2 linked regions of the Drosophila melanogaster genome follow. The protein of the gene in region 2 purifies or fractionates together with the protein of the main gene of each other region. This does not show direct contact. Each region holds a gene or a part of one and is shown on either strand. Other genes may lie near its edges.

Region 1 (6,282 bases), 2.5 Mb from region 2:
GAGCAGCATGTCTGCCTGTGTGTGTATGTTAGTGAGCGACTAGGGTTGCAACTTATGCTGATCGCGAGATGCGAGGCTTCCAACGGTTCGATCTGCGATGCGTGCAGGTGCCGCAGCCCTGGCACAGTGAAAACCGGCTAACAGTAACTGGCATTAGTAAAAACTACACAAAAACGCAGGGTTTACTCTCTTTAATAAAGTAGCTCAAAACATAATTTAAACTGCTTTGTGACTTAATGATGTACAAAATGTATTAGGCATATGAGTTAAGCTAAAAGGGCACTTAAAACCTTAATCACTTGTAATGAGCCTAAATGGGTTTAATGAACTTTACAAGTGATTAATCAAAATCTATAAGCAATGTTTTGACAGTAACTTCTGTGGGTCAAGCACAGACTCGCATAGCGCCAGTTCACTGTACTTCAGCTATCTACCACCATGCCAGCTACTCTTGTAAAACATCAAACGTTGAGATCGGCACGTTTTATGCAATTTCTTCGTAGACAGATAAGTGCTGCAAGTACGGGGTGCGGCATTCGCATTCGATCCCCCTCCTTTTGGGACTTGCATATGAGTAATGCAGTCAATAAAGTGCCCACCGCGTGTAACTGCGCCTCCAATTGAGTTCAATATTTAAGGGAAGCACTGGGTCAATTGCTAAACAAACGTTGTGTACGGATACATACATATATGGATATAGAAATTCTGAACACATTCGCAGTCCAGATAGCGGGAATTCGTTATTTGTTTATTTTTGCATTCTCCTCTGGCAGGCGGAAGAAAGAGAAAGAGAACGGTAAAAAGCCCGCCCTGCTTTTGTTTTTCTTTTTTTTATGCGCTGTTGAAATTGTATGTATTTGCAAAACATTGCCAACACACACCATCACGCATACATACAGGTTATCCAGAGTTTTAAATGAATAATCATTCCGAATAAAAAATAAACGCTGATTGGGCTTTTGCGGTTCGCTGGGGAATACCTTAATGGGTGGATTGGTCATTCTCTTTAGAAGGGAATGGTAAGGGGTGGGGGGACAGCCCACAGCTGTTTCCAGCGACTGACCCGAATGGAAAATGTGAGAAATGGTATCAAGCCAAGCGCGTATGCGCAGCACGCTCGACAACCGAAATTACGGTGTGTACTTGTGAGATTGAGATTTTCAGATACGTGTCGCGCTCTCTCTCCCCTCCCTCCCTCTTACAATCTAGATAAGCAACGCTCGCTGAACGTGTGTGTGCGTGCGTCGCTTTGTTTCTCACCGTACGAAAAAGTGTTTTTCGAAGAAGATTCCAAAATGGAAAGGTAGCGGACTGTAAGGGTTTTCTGGTGTAGCGGGGGGATATGGCCACTGCTTGCCACACCACACTATAAAGAGCATAAAGCGCCCACACTCCGTAAAATGCAGCAGCAACACCAGACACACACACACACACTTGAACTCTTCCTTTGAAATACTCGCAGAATATACTCACACGAGCGCGCGTTTGGTAATTTCGATTTCACACATAAAATTCCCCGTAGCTTCGGTTCGGTTCTTCTAAATTTTGTTCACTATCTTCTGCACTTCTTGGCGTTGGAGCTTGTTAGTTTTTCGCGACCAGAACTCAATGGAGCTCCCTTACGAGCAGCGCACACGACTTCACGCGGAGAGCTGAAAACGATTGCTTGGATACCAATATTTTGGTACTTTTGAGTAGAGCCGTCAAAACATCGATGCTACTATCGATAGTATCGAACCGTGCATGGCGATGATATCGAGATAGTTGTGAGCAGTGGAATCAGACTGTTGCAAGCTAATAGGCTAATCTCTCGGGGCACATCACTTGAAGACCGTTGGGATTTAAAACTTAGCAAAATAAATAAATTATTTTAAAGAATTTTTGCAATTGAAAAGACAAATTTTTTAACATTTACATATACATTTATTGGAGAATGCATATAGTTGTGTGTAAACCATACTATCAGCGGCCTATAAACATGATCAACAAAAATACATACATGTGTTAATAAGAGTACTATAACAAGAAATCCATGTGATCTGCGGTCGTGCCGGTGCATTGATACCCTTTTCAGCGCGAATTAGAGCTGCTCATCTATATAAGGTCATTTCAGCGTGCATAATGTATGGTTCAAAAGGGATGCGCTCGGACACAATGCGATAGTTAGTAACGACAACTTACAACCGTAGCTAATGTAAAAACGAATAGCTGCAGTTGGCCAAGTACTTAGTAGACGATTAGTAGACGATTATATTAGCTAATCACCGGATAATTTGAACTTCGCTGTAGTAGTTTGTGTGGGTGCAATCAATCGATTTGCTTAACTGCTAACTAGGCTGGTGAACTCTAAATGATGTCGATATGCACTTCACGAAAGGAACGTGCGCACGAATCCCTTGATGTCTGCGCGGCACATGGGACAATTGGCTACACTGGGGGCGCACTGATTGCAGGTGGCTGTCGGGTTAACAGGAAGTTAGCTACAGCTCAAGGCAATCAAGGTATAGTTCAGCGACTTACCCAAGTGGCCACAGGGCAGGAACACTACGCCAACCTCCTCGTCCAAGCATACCTTGCATAAGCGTGCATCCTTTAGCTGGCGGTTTTCCTCCTCCAGCGATAGGTTTCCGTTCGGCGTGGCCACCGACATCTTTTGTATTTCGTCTGTGATTTTCGATATATTCGCCACTGCTTCAGCTGCCTGTGGTTTGGCTGGGATGGAATCGGCCACCGGTATTGGCACAGATGCTGCCTTGCTGGTGGTGGCCTGACATGGTTCAATAAAAGGAGCACTTGGCTCCGGCGGCTCGCGCACCTCCAGTGCAGCTCCTGCGCCCGCATCGTCAAAGATGTCATGCAATAGTTCGTCCAACGTAGAGAAAGCGCAGCCGGAACTCAAGAGCTTGCGCTGGATGGCATTGCGCACAACTCCTCCATCGATACCCAAGGCTAGGGCCTCCTTGGCCGGAGCTTCATCCATCAGTACGTCTGCTTGGAGCGTTGGAGCCGGAGCAGTTGCTGGCTGGGAACTGGCGTTGGCAGCTGTTGTCGCGAGCACTTCGCTTACATAGGCTGGACCCTTGGCCAGCAAAACGAACTGACACTTTGGCGACCACTTGGCGTGTTCGAACCACGGCTCGTCCTCCTTCTGCCAGGAGCGCAATCCAATGTTGCAGTGGAAACAGCGCACCTGGTCGCCTATTTTCTGATAATATAGGCCAGCCTGCGCCAAAGCCGAAGCGGGCTGAATATTGGAAATGGGCCAATCGGTGAAGGTTCTCAATCTGGCGTCCACGCAGGCGTACTTGGGACGCAGTGGCAGAGTGGTGGGCTGGATGCCCAGCTCATCCAGGTTCTTCCCGGTGGCAAACTCTATAAGGGGGCCCATTTGCACACGAGGACATTGGGGAAAAAAGCGCTTGTGCTCTTCAAAGGCATTGTCGTTCTTCTCCCACTTGGCAATCACTCCGTTGCACCAAACACACTTCACGTGATCCAGACGGTTCAGGTAGTAGAAACCTGCCTTTGCCAGAGCCTGCGGCGTGATGTTGGGATTCTACAAAGGAAGACGTTTTGGGCTAAAGTTAAACTATCTTATTCAGTCATTAAAAATATTTGAAATTATACAGTATACAATAACTTCATTTGAAGTTCATAATGATTTTTGTATATCTTAATTAAAGCTTAATTTCGTAGGATTATCAATCAACATTCAGCTGAATTGAGGCAGCTAACAAGACATTTCTTGTTTGTATACAAAAATATCATTGATACTTTCGACCGGGATTTTCCTGGCCTCATTTACGCTACTTTTTAACTACGCAATCATACTTACATATGCACTTATAGTGAGCTTGAAACTGAAACTATAGTGATTACAATGACCCGCTATGGTGAATCACCAGAAGCGAGCGACACCAGCTCAGGGTACTCACCGGCCAGTCCTTGAAAGTTACCAAGCGATTGGCCTCCAACAAGAGATCGGGACAAGAGCAGGACTCCGGGCTGTCCACTACGCTGTTTCCCTCGTTGTCGCTCTCCTGGCTCCTGGGAACATTGCCGCAGTGATTGGGAGCCAGAACCATGGAGCAGATGGGCGAGGAGCGGCGATGGCGCTCCGCCACTTGATCGCCGTATTCCCAGCGGTCGATGCGCACGTGGCAGAAATGGCACTCGGCCTCCAGCCAGTTTCCCGTGGCAAAGAAACCATTGGCGACCAGATCCTCCGCGGAAACTGGGGCATTCAGGGGCCATTCCCCAAATGTCGCCAGGCGAACGCTCTCCAGCTCCATGCCCAGCTCCGTCATCGTGGCGCTTCTAAATTGGATCCGAATGGATCCACCAATGATGTAATGCCACCAAGGGAATCACCAGCGAGCGCAGACGAAAATGAAAATAAGGTAAGGTAAAAATATAAACTTATTGTAGCGATGTAAAAATAAGCATCGATGTTTTTCGATACATCGTCAATGTTTCATCGATGAAATACCAACTTAATGGGCACTGCTTACAAAAACAAGGTCAAGCAGTTTACCTTGCTATTCGGTATATCCAAACCTAAGAAGTTTCCAGGTATTTCACGAGTGCCATATAACAGCCAACTATTTCAACAGCTGTCCAACCAACGATATAATGAACCAAAATCTCTTGTTTGTATTTTGTACGTTATTTATTTATATCGAGTTCTTCAATCAGTAACATTATACCACTTCCACAGTGCTCTGCGCCGCGCAGGGCCAGGCGGAACTCTCCGGATTACTAAGTGCCCTCCAGTATTTCGGGCTCTTCTCAAATTTGACGGTGTATTCCCTGGGAGTTTCGCGGGGCCAGTGCCATTATAGCTTCGAAACCTTGCTGAAGGAGCGACACACATGTGCCCCGGATGACGAGCACATCATGCACCTAAACCAGCTGCCTCCGGTTCGAAAGCCACCTATTATGATGAAGTGCCTGCAGCGGGATATCGAGAATGAGACAGCATCCGAGCCGGAACTGCTGATAATGCGCAGTGCCAAGGATATAGTGAATCTGCTTAAGCCCATGGGCAATGCCACCAAGCGCCACGAGCCGGGCAACTGTGTACTTGTCCATTTCTGCACCGCATCCAGCTTGGAGTGCGCTCGTGTGGCTTCGATGGTCAACGTGCTGCCCCATTACTTTCCCACGCTACCCATCGCCTATGTGGATGCCTATGAGTTTGGTCGTTTCAATGCAGAATTCGGCATCGTTTCGCTGCCCACACTGATGCTATTCCACCAGGGCAGGCCGCTAATCAAATTCGAGCCCGGGTGGAAGGACACAAAGAGCAGCTTTGCCAGTTTCATAATGAGTCACACCAATATGAAGACTGTGAATCCGCAGGCCATTGATCCGATCATCCTCACTCGCGCAGAGATGGAGCCGCTGTCTAATAAACCCATTGTGCAGACGGATTACTATTTGGGCCTGGCTTGGGCCTTTATTCTCGTCTGCCTTGCCAACTTCCTGCGTAAGACGGCGCTCTGGAAGCAGCTGGTAGAGATGGTGCAGCGCATTTGGCGGGAATCCGAGGAGACGCAAATGGAGATGGTGGACTAGTTAGTTAATACGTTTAATTCTCTATAAGTCGCATAAGTAGAACACTGGATTTACTATTATAATGTAATTACCATTTAATTAAATTCACGTTAACATTTACTTAGGCCTTACGAATTACATGTATTTGGGGAATTGGTAATTGTTGTTTTCTATCGTTCGGAGCCTTCAAATCAATTGTGTTCATTTGCACGCTAACTGGCATCCATAATTTAAAGCTTAGTGGCTAACAAAATCTAAAAACTTGAGAATTAATCAAATAATTCAAACTTATAATTACGATTTCATATATATTCCATTACTTTCATTGAATTTTTCGATTAGGTCTGAGAGTGTGTGTTGTAATGATTTCGGCGTTGAATAGTCACATTTGTTTTAAGTAAATTTAAGCAAGTTGTTCTGTATCCTGCGTGCACATCAATAGCATCTTGAAGTTGTACATTTTTTAGTGTTGCATTCTGGTCGACTCACGCAGGATAAGACAGAACTGGTAAAGAATTGTGTTTGTTAAAAAATATTTGAATTGGTTTTCCTGCTATGGAACAGAACCCAACGCTTTGCTTCCTAGTGTTTTTGAGTGTGCGATGCGGAAGATGTTGGCATACAGATGATCACGTTTCTACTACTTCTTCTTGCCGCGCTTGACCGCCTTGTAGGAGCTGGCCGCTTCGTCCTCCGTGTGAAAATGTTTTACGGCACGTTGTTGGC
Region 2 (9,026 bases):
ATCCCCAGCATACGGTGCCCACTTTAGAGGACGATGGCCATTTCATCTGGGACTCACACGCAATCAGCGCATATCTGGTGTCCAAGTATGGCCAGAGTGATACTCTTTATCCGAAAGATCTCCTCCAACGCGCTGTGGTGGACCAGCGATTGCACTTCGAGTCCGGCGTGGTCTTTGTCAACGGACTGAGAGGCATCACCAAGCCGCTCTTTGCGACCGGTCAGACGACGATTCCCAAGGAGCGTTACGATGCCGTCATAGAGATTTACGACTTTGTAGAGACTTTTCTCACCGGACACGATTTCATTGCCGGTGATCAGTTGACCATCGCGGATTTTAGCCTAATCACATCGATTACCGCACTGGCGGTATTCGTGGTCATCGATACAGTAAAATACGCCAATATAACTGCGTGGATCAAGAGGATTGAGGAACTACCCTATTACGAGGAGGCATGTGGCAAAGGTGCCCGGGATTTGGTGACCCTCCTCAAGAAATTCAATTTTACCTTCTCAACTTAATAATTTATTCTTAGTATATAATTGTAATAATAATGTTTAATAATTGTATAAAACATTATTAAGACTATTCTTCAAATATTGTTATCTTATGATTTTTATTTTATGATAATAGACAGTTTTAAAAATCGCCACCTGATTCGGTTGTAAGAAGACAAATTAAACAGGTCAAGTGGAAGAATTTTCCATCACATTTCAAACAAATATGATAAGACAAACCAAAACACTTAACACCTCATGGAGTGGCTCAGTCGAACTCGTCCATGGAGATTACCTAATCGATCCTACAAGCAAAGATAGCTTTGCTGAAAATGCTGATAATAGATAGGTGTTTTGTCTTCAAGAACACAGAATCCCTCTAAAAATGGCATATTCAAATAAATATTATGCCAATCAGAAGGAACGCTAATTATCTCGAACGACAAGAGTGAGTCAGCATGGAATACGCAAGTAGCGTATATAAATTGAAATAAAATGAGCTGTAAGTTCATCCGATCGATAATTGCGATAGTCGGAGCTGGTTTAGTTTCAAGTCAACAGCCAAGGCGAGCGGACACCTGAAGCGATGGGAAAATTAGTACTGTACGGCGTAGAGGCTAGTCCGCCGGTGCGAGCATGCAAACTGACCCTCGACGCCCTGGGCCTTCAGTATGAGTATAGGCTGGTGAACCTGCTGGCCGGTGAGCACAAGACGAAGGAGTTCAGCCTGAAGAATCCGCAGCACACGGTACCCGTGCTGGAGGACGATGGCAAGTTCATCTGGGAGAGTCACGCCATTTGCGCTTATCTGGTTAGACGCTATGCCAAGAGTGATGACCTGTATCCCAAGGATTACTTCAAACGCGCACTCGTTGATCAGCGCCTGCACTTTGAGTCGGGTGTGTTATTCCAGGGCTGCATCCGGAACATAGCCATTCCGTTGTTCTACAAGAACATAACTGAGGTGCCGCGTTCCCAGATTGATGCCATCTACGAGGCCTATGACTTTCTGGAAGCGTTCATCGGTAATCAGGCTTACCTCTGCGGACCGGTCATAACCATCGCCGACTACAGTGTAGTTTCCTCGGTCTCCAGCCTAGTGGGATTGGCCGCTATCGATGCCAAGCGCTATCCCAAGTTAAACGGCTGGCTAGACAGAATGGCCGCACAGCCCAATTACCAGTCGCTCAATGGCAATGGGGCACAGATGTTGATCGACATGTTCAGTTCGAAGATCACAAAGATTGTGTAATTGTTTGCACTAGCTTAAAGGTTACAAACGCAACGTGTTCTGATTACGTAACAATAAAGCTTCTATTTGTATAAACTTTACAAAAATGCTTTTAAATACCAGCTCAATTAGCTGGTTTTTTTTTTCGACACAAGTATCACAACTTAAAGATTAAACTGCAGTAATAACAGTTAATGCAATTCTACGCACTTATTCGATAGGTTGGATTTATAAATCAAATATTGCACATATATCCCGTGTTCGTCTCTTCTCTCTACCACTCGATGTCTTCTGTCAAAGGCCGCTCTGAATTTAGCAAAAGTTGGTGGGTTAAACATTTCCAGTTTTCACCATCCGGCTGGCTTGGACATCAAGGGGCCACTTTGAATGCATCGTTTTCGTTCTGGAATCTTTGCTAGCAAGTTTCACTCACTGACTAGCTGTTTGTCTTGCGCTTCTCCAGTGCCTTCCAAACCAGTTTCATGCGCTGCACGCAGTCGCGATGCTGGGACTCCCACAGCAGTGTAGTAAGTCGTCCAACGGTGGCCACACCGTCCGCCGAGCTTCGAATCCACTGGAGCAACAGCTGGTATATCACCTATAGACGTAGACACAAAGCAAAGTGTTATTTTCTGATTTTATGATTGATTTTCTAACTCTTAAAAATCATTAAAATCTTCTGGTACTCTAACAACAGAGTTGTGACATTTATACACCATAACTTGCAATCTAATCAGACAAACAAGTGGAATCACTATCAGTATTATATAAAATAAATAGCTCACAATAATGTAAGCTAATTTATATTATTTTTTTTTTTAAGTTGAACAATCCATTCGTGTCAAGCAATGAAATCTAACAGAAATAGTGGTATTTGAGTCATTAAATTAGTCTGATGCGTCACAATCATCTTAGCATAGTCTGTTGTTTTACATACTAATTTGAGTTTGTATGTTCTGTTCTTGAATCAACATTCAACAACAAATAAGAGAAGTTTAAACTTCAGGGGCCTTACCTCTCTAATATTGCCATGCATTTGGTGATCGATTATGGCCTGGTCGATCTGTCCTTCCGACATGCCAAGATCCCGCATCACCTGCTTCCAGCCCTCGCCCAAGTGCGTGGAAACCACATCGAGCAGGCGCACATCCGGTTCCTCTTGTGACTGCATCATGGCCACAATGCTGACCGTTTTGCGCGTCGCACTTGCCCGCGGCTTACCGTCTGGAGAGGCGACCGACTCCTCTGCGGTACTGGTGCTACCCTTTCGCGAGCTGCAGGCGCTCAAGTTTTGGTTGAAGTTGTAGACGGAGCCGAAGTGCAGATTATTGGCATTCGAGAAGTTCATGACCACCTGTTGCTGGGCGCTGTGTACGTTCATGGTGTTGTTTGTCTGGACGTTACTGAGAGTGCCCGGAATATTGGCGGAATGCACCACATCCATTGAATTGTAGTTTGGGTCGCTGAGCTCGCGCAGCACGGATTCGGTCAGATCCGAGGAGGCTGTGGGCGTGCCAGCGGTGGAGGGCAGCGCCAGGGCTCCGCTGTTGTTGTTATCTGGTTCGTTGTCGTCCACGGGAGCTGCGTCCTTTTCCAGGCGTCCCTCGACGGGTGTCGGATTCTGTGCCTCCTTCCCGCCAAAGATTGTGGGCAACAGGTTCCTGAGCTTTGACATGCTGCTCGCTGATAACTGGTAGCTTTGAATGTGCTCTCGCTTCCGGAAATTCCACAGATTGGGGAGTTTTTTGCCTTTGTGTTTCTTTGCTCTTTTTCAATTTGGTGGTGGTAGGCCAAGGATGGACCTGACTATCGATATTCCGAGCCGATTATCAACCGATATTTCACTTACAACTAAAAATTTTTAGTTTTATTAAGAAATTCAACTAAATAGCATTTCTTGTCTTTTCCGTCTGATTGAAAAAATCAATTATATTTGACTAACATACAAAACTTAACATTTGAATTTTAATTCTTAATCATTATGTGCATATAAGGAAAAAATTTAAGCATTTATATCTAATCTTTATTAATTTGCATATAAGGAAACCCCCATAATAACGATTATCATCTTTAAAAACTGGTGTTTGTTGTCTAAGTTTTTTTTTAATATATTTTTTTTATTGTTACTATTGAATAATTCTTTAATTAATTTTTGAAAATCCCCAAAAGAAGGCCATGGTAATAGACCCAATAGTCGATAGTTCGATTTGACAGTTCGCGCTTGCGATTGGTAAGAGCGACAACCCTGCACCCGCTGCGGCGTATCGCCCATCTCTATTTGCCACGTTCGCTCATGTTCATTCACATTTTACTTGGAGTCGGTAACGTTGAGTTCCGCGTCCGTGCGTTCTGCCTTCCAATAGAAAGTCTGGGTGTGAATTTACCAAGATTCCAGTGCGAAAATCAACTCACATTGCTCGGTGATCCGTGCGGCGGTATAATTGCAGCCGGAATTGCATAAGTTGCGGCGAGCGAAAGAGAGTGCACGGATTTACAGTTATAAAGGGCCGGCAGCGGTGGGGCGGCGACGGCAGAGCAAGCAGAAGAAGAAGAGACGGCAGTGGCGAATTAAAAAAAACGATGAAAGAAAATTCGGGCCGCTAATTTTTCTTCAAATTTGTGTGCGGTCGGCGAAAAACAACGTGTTTTTCAATGGTTGATAATACACACGGACGGCGCACTCGCGCTCACCCACACAGTCACAAAAGTCGGCGACGTCGACGACCCACACGCTCACATAGGGACGTAAAATCCCGTGCATACGTGTGAGCGTGCATATATAAGCATATTTGTCCGATTGGAAGGCGCGCGTGCTGCCTTTTATTTTTTTTTACTTTAATTTTCCTATTTTTCGAGAGGGGGAGGCAGAGTTAAGGCCCCGCCCCGTGCCGGAAAAGAGGATCCACACAACCTTTCACCTGGAAAGCATACGGCACTGATTTCCGCATTTCCATACTCTCACACACACACACAGACGCACACAAACACGCCCACGCGCTGCTCCAATTTTGCCTCCGCTGCTGCCACAAAAACAATTGTCCAATAAGTGGCCCGCATATGCTGCCCCCCTCCCCTTCCTTCACCGTGCTCTCTGCAACAACGCGCTCTCTGCGACAAATAACATTAGACTTTCTATTGGGGATGTGCATAACGCAGAATGACTGACTAAATGATTTGTAGGGCATTCATCCTGGTGATGCCACGATCCGATCTTCTGCATCCGCTAATTGCATTAATTTTAAGCAATTGTTTTTCGGCTTTTCCAGCAGACACCCAAGTTATCAAACTGGATTTGGTCAAAGGAGAGTAAACTCGGCCGGATTTTTTGGATTTTACAGTACCGTAAGTTGAACAACCTTTGCCTAGAGTTAATTTGCATAGTTTAACATTTTACACAAGTGTTTTGCCAAAAAAAAGACAACAAATGTCGTCCAAGTTAACGGTTTCATGCCTAAAACTGACTACGTCAAGCTTTTCTTTTTTTGGTCTTTGGGATCTTTGTATCGAAATTACAGAAACAAGAATCCATCCGATATGTGCATACCAATTTTGTATATATGTTTTTTTTTTTTTTGGTTTTTTGTTTAAAGCTGAACTTTAGCGCATTGTTATTGTGCTTTGTCTTCATTTGTCGACGTCAGCGTCGCTGCAGGCGTCACATACGAACGTATGAACGATGGTATTTGCTATGTAGGTATGTTGCTTGTTTTCGTTTTTTACCTGTGCCTTCTCGAAAGGTGGCAACACACACACACAACCGTATTCCCGAAGAAGAAAAAGAGCGACACAGAAATGTGCAGGCACACAGGCACAGCACACTCACATGCATACAATACACCACTGGCACTGCTCGATCGTTTTGTTGTAGTTGCCGGCTATCATCCGGTTTTATATGGAGCTGCTCCCCTGCTCCGTTAAGTTACTTCGTCAAGCTCTCGCTCTCTCCTCTCCCTGTTCCTGTCGCTCTCGTGCTCTTGTCTCTGTATTTGACACATTTTTCATGAGCACAAACAGATTCGTCGTTAGGTGATTATTTTTTTGGGAAATTAATTCTGAAATGAAAAACTATTATTAAATGTTAGGGATAATGATCTGGTGTCACTTGCAGTTGTCATTGTTATCTGTAATATATAAATGTATTAAGCTTTCATTGAAATTTACAAAACCGTATGATTTAAAAGTAAGAGGCCCCCTTTACACATACCCTGCCACCGCCGCTGTCCGCACATACAAAGACACAACTAACAGAGAGGAGACAGACATATCTTTGTTGTTCTTTCGGTAGAGAGGAAAATGTAGGCTACGAAAACTCGTTGGGCATGGATTTAGAAAACAGCTTTGGTCGAACAAGTGCATGGTCTCTGCTGCTCCTCGGCTGAGATCTCTCTTTCTCATTCGCGAGGCCCCAACCTTTCACCCAATCGAAATCCGACTGATAGCAGCCTAAATTTCGGAAAGCGCACTTGTAGCATTGTGTGTTTGTGTGTGTACGTACCACAATATCTTGGTGGCAATCGGACGACTGAGCTTATCAGCCAGAACGGCCGATAGTTATCACTCAGCCCCGGAATCTGCCTGCGTGGCCCATCGGCCGCGTCCACTTATCACCACCGAAAAGCGGAGAGTTGTGTCGAGCACTCATCTCGCAGATCCAAGCACTACGTGGCCTTAGTTTCAGGCTGTGGTGCAGAAAGCTCGTTTGAAAAGAGACTATTTCGGTTTATCAACGCCAGAAAATCCATTTCATGCACCCCCTTTGGACACGCACTGTTTACAGTGGGGCATGCAACATGGTTTCCCGGAATGATTCTGCATTCAGTCGAAGGAAACTTTACGAATATAAGCTACAGAGGTGAATTCAATGAATAATTTATGATCTAATTTAATAGATATTTTATTAAATGTAGTATTGGATGTTATTGGAAATTTCTTCCATTCACAAATTAAGAAGAAATGGAAAACAGCAAACAAAAAATTGCAAACTTTTGACGTTTTTATAAGAAAGCAATAGTAACGCAACTTGTTAGATTTCCTGTACATAAGTCACGCCGCATATCCAATGAATTATCTTTGTACTAATTTGTTTACTGTAGCCAAGCGGTCCTAAAGTGTGTATGTACTTATGTAGTTCCTTATCAGTTGGTCGCAGCCAAATGCGGGTCCTCGGAGGTCGCACTTATCAACTATCTGCGATTTTGGTAAGTCTGCGGGCGACTGACAACAGAAACAGATGAAAACTGTAGCTAAACGGGCCTATTTTAATCCATGTTTGCCAAAATAAGAATGCCATTTAACTATTTGTTCTTTGATTGATCGACCAGCACTTCGATAATCCCCTAGAAATTTTTCCTTCCTGGTTGTTTGCTTTATCGCTGGCTGATAAACAAGGTTCATTTATAGGGTCCAGTATGATGTAAACGTTTTAATGCACTTGATAAGATATCTTCTACTTTTCAATTTCAGTGTACTGTAAACGACTTGGAACGAAAAAGGACTTTTCTCTTTTTTTAAGTAATGCAAGCAGCAGCAGTGATGGAGGAAACTAACAACGGTGAGTTCTTCGAAGGCTAAATATTATCAAGCAATTGTTAACCAAAATCATCATGCAGCAACTACCATCGAGCAGCAGCCCATCGCTCTCATTAATGGCCAAGAGCAGGTGGCCAACGAGCAGCAACCATCCTCGCCAACTTCAGTGGCCACGCCCACTAGTACCACTAGCGGCGGAACTGGCAATGCCACACCCGCCTTTAGCTACGACGACCTGTTTCCGGCCCTGCCGGCCAACACTTCGGCTCAATCGCAATCCGGAGCTTCCGGTTCGACTCTAGCTCGTGTGACGAGTTCCCAAAAAACTCATGTAAGCTCGAAAAAGACATACATTGATTTGGTTCTGATTCTATGGATTTCAATTTTTTTTGTAACAGATTGTGCATGTTCCCTGCAAGGAGCGCAAGTCCACGGAGTCGGAGAAGTTTGGCGAAGGCGAGTCGAAGCGTATTTGCCAGCAGATCACCAAGGAGACCGGAGCCCAGATCGAGATTGTGAGCGGCAAGAACCAGTCGCTGACCTTCCTGATTAAGGGCAAGCAGAGCGAGCTGCTCGATGCCCGCCGTAAGATTCTTATGGGCTTCTCCACTCAGGCCAGTCGGCAGGTGACCGTTCCTCGGGAGCACTTCCGCGTCATCCTCGGCAAGGGTGGCCAACGGCTGCGCGAAATCGAGCGTGTTACTGCGACGCGCATCAACATCCCCAGCCAGAGCGATGAGAGCGAGTTTATCACGATTGCCGGAACCAAGGAGGGTATTGCCCAGGCCGAGCAGGAGATCCGTCAGCTGTCAGCCGAGCAGTACAAGAAGTCATCGGACCGCATCACGGTGCCCAAAGTTTACCATCCCTTCATCGTGGGCCCCTACAGCGAGAACCTAAATAAGCTGCAGGAGGAGACCGGCGCTAGGATCAACGTGCCGCCGCAGCAGGTTCAGAAGGACGAGATCGTCATCTCGGGCGAGAAGGACGCGGTCGCAGCGGCAAAGGCCAAGGTGGAGGCCATTTACAAGGATATGGAAAAGAAGTGCTCTACCGTCAGTGTGGAGGTAGCTAAGCCCAAGCACCGATATGTCATTGGTCCGAAGGGCTCCACCATCGCCGAGATTCTGCAGTTGACCGGTGTGTCTGTAGAGATGCCTCCCAATGACTCCCCCTCGGAGACGATCACTTTGCGTGGGCCGCAAGTGGCTTTGGGAAATGCCCTAACCGTTGTCTACCAAAAGTCCAACTCGGTCAAGTCTGTGGAGATCAATGCGGCACATTGGATCCACAAGTATGTGATCGGTCGCAAGGGGGCCAACATGAAGCAGCTGGAGGAGGACTGCCCCAACGTGAACGTGAATTGCCTGGAAGACAAGATCAAGCTGGAGGGAGATCCCGAGAACGTTGACAGGGCTGTAGCCTACTTGTCCGAAATCATCAAAAACTACGAGGAGAACTTCACATTCGAGGTGATGACGGTTAATCCTTCGTACTACAAGCACATCATCGGTAAGGCTGGAGCCAACGTAAATCGCCTGAAGGATGAACTGAAGGTTAACATTAACATCGAAGAGCGCGAGGGCCAGAACAACATCCGTATCGAGGGTCCCAAGGAGGGAGTACGGCAGGCGCAGCTTGAATTACAAGAAAAAATCGACAAACTGGAAAACGAAAAATCGAAGGATGTGATCATCGACCGCCGTCTCCATCGTTCTATTATCGGAGCTAAGGGCGAGAAGATTCGCGAGGTGAAGGACCGCTACCGC

The links.
Region 1: the proteins of imd (region 2) and Diap2 purify together in Drosophila melanogaster (affinity purification with western blotting; 2 studies listed by BioGRID). This does not show direct contact.

What each region holds. Positions count from the first base shown.
Region 1 is NT_033778.4:15,930,264-15,936,545, forward strand, and holds Diap2 (Death-associated inhibitor of apoptosis 2), read right to left. Parts: upstream 4,563-6,282; 5' UTR 4,535-4,562; intron 4,455-4,534; exon of another isoform or gene 4,318-4,454; 5' UTR 4,308-4,317; coding exon 3,936-4,307; intron 3,557-3,935; coding exon 2,521-3,556; intron 2,458-2,520; coding exon 2,369-2,457; 3' UTR 1,907-2,368; downstream 1-1,906. Other genes in the region: bug (bunker gear), read left to right, coding at 4,633-4,660, 4,718-5,577; Mlf (Myelodysplasia/myeloid leukemia factor), read right to left, coding at 6,197-6,282.
Region 2 is NT_033778.4:18,408,008-18,417,033, forward strand, and holds imd (immune deficiency), read right to left. Parts: upstream 5,593-9,026; 5' UTR 5,449-5,592; intron 5,423-5,448; exon of another isoform or gene 5,319-5,422; intron 5,071-5,318; exon of another isoform or gene 4,841-5,070; intron 4,350-4,840; exon of another isoform or gene 4,020-4,349; intron 3,580-4,019; 5' UTR 3,404-3,579; coding exon 2,744-3,403; intron 2,327-2,743; coding exon 2,165-2,326; 3' UTR 1,789-2,164; downstream 1-1,788. Other genes in the region: GstE8 (glutathione S transferase E8), read left to right, coding at 1-521; GstE9 (glutathione S transferase E9), read left to right, coding at 1,084-1,749; Dp1 (Dodeca-satellite-binding protein 1), read left to right, coding at 7,243-7,279, 7,338-7,588, 7,656-9,026.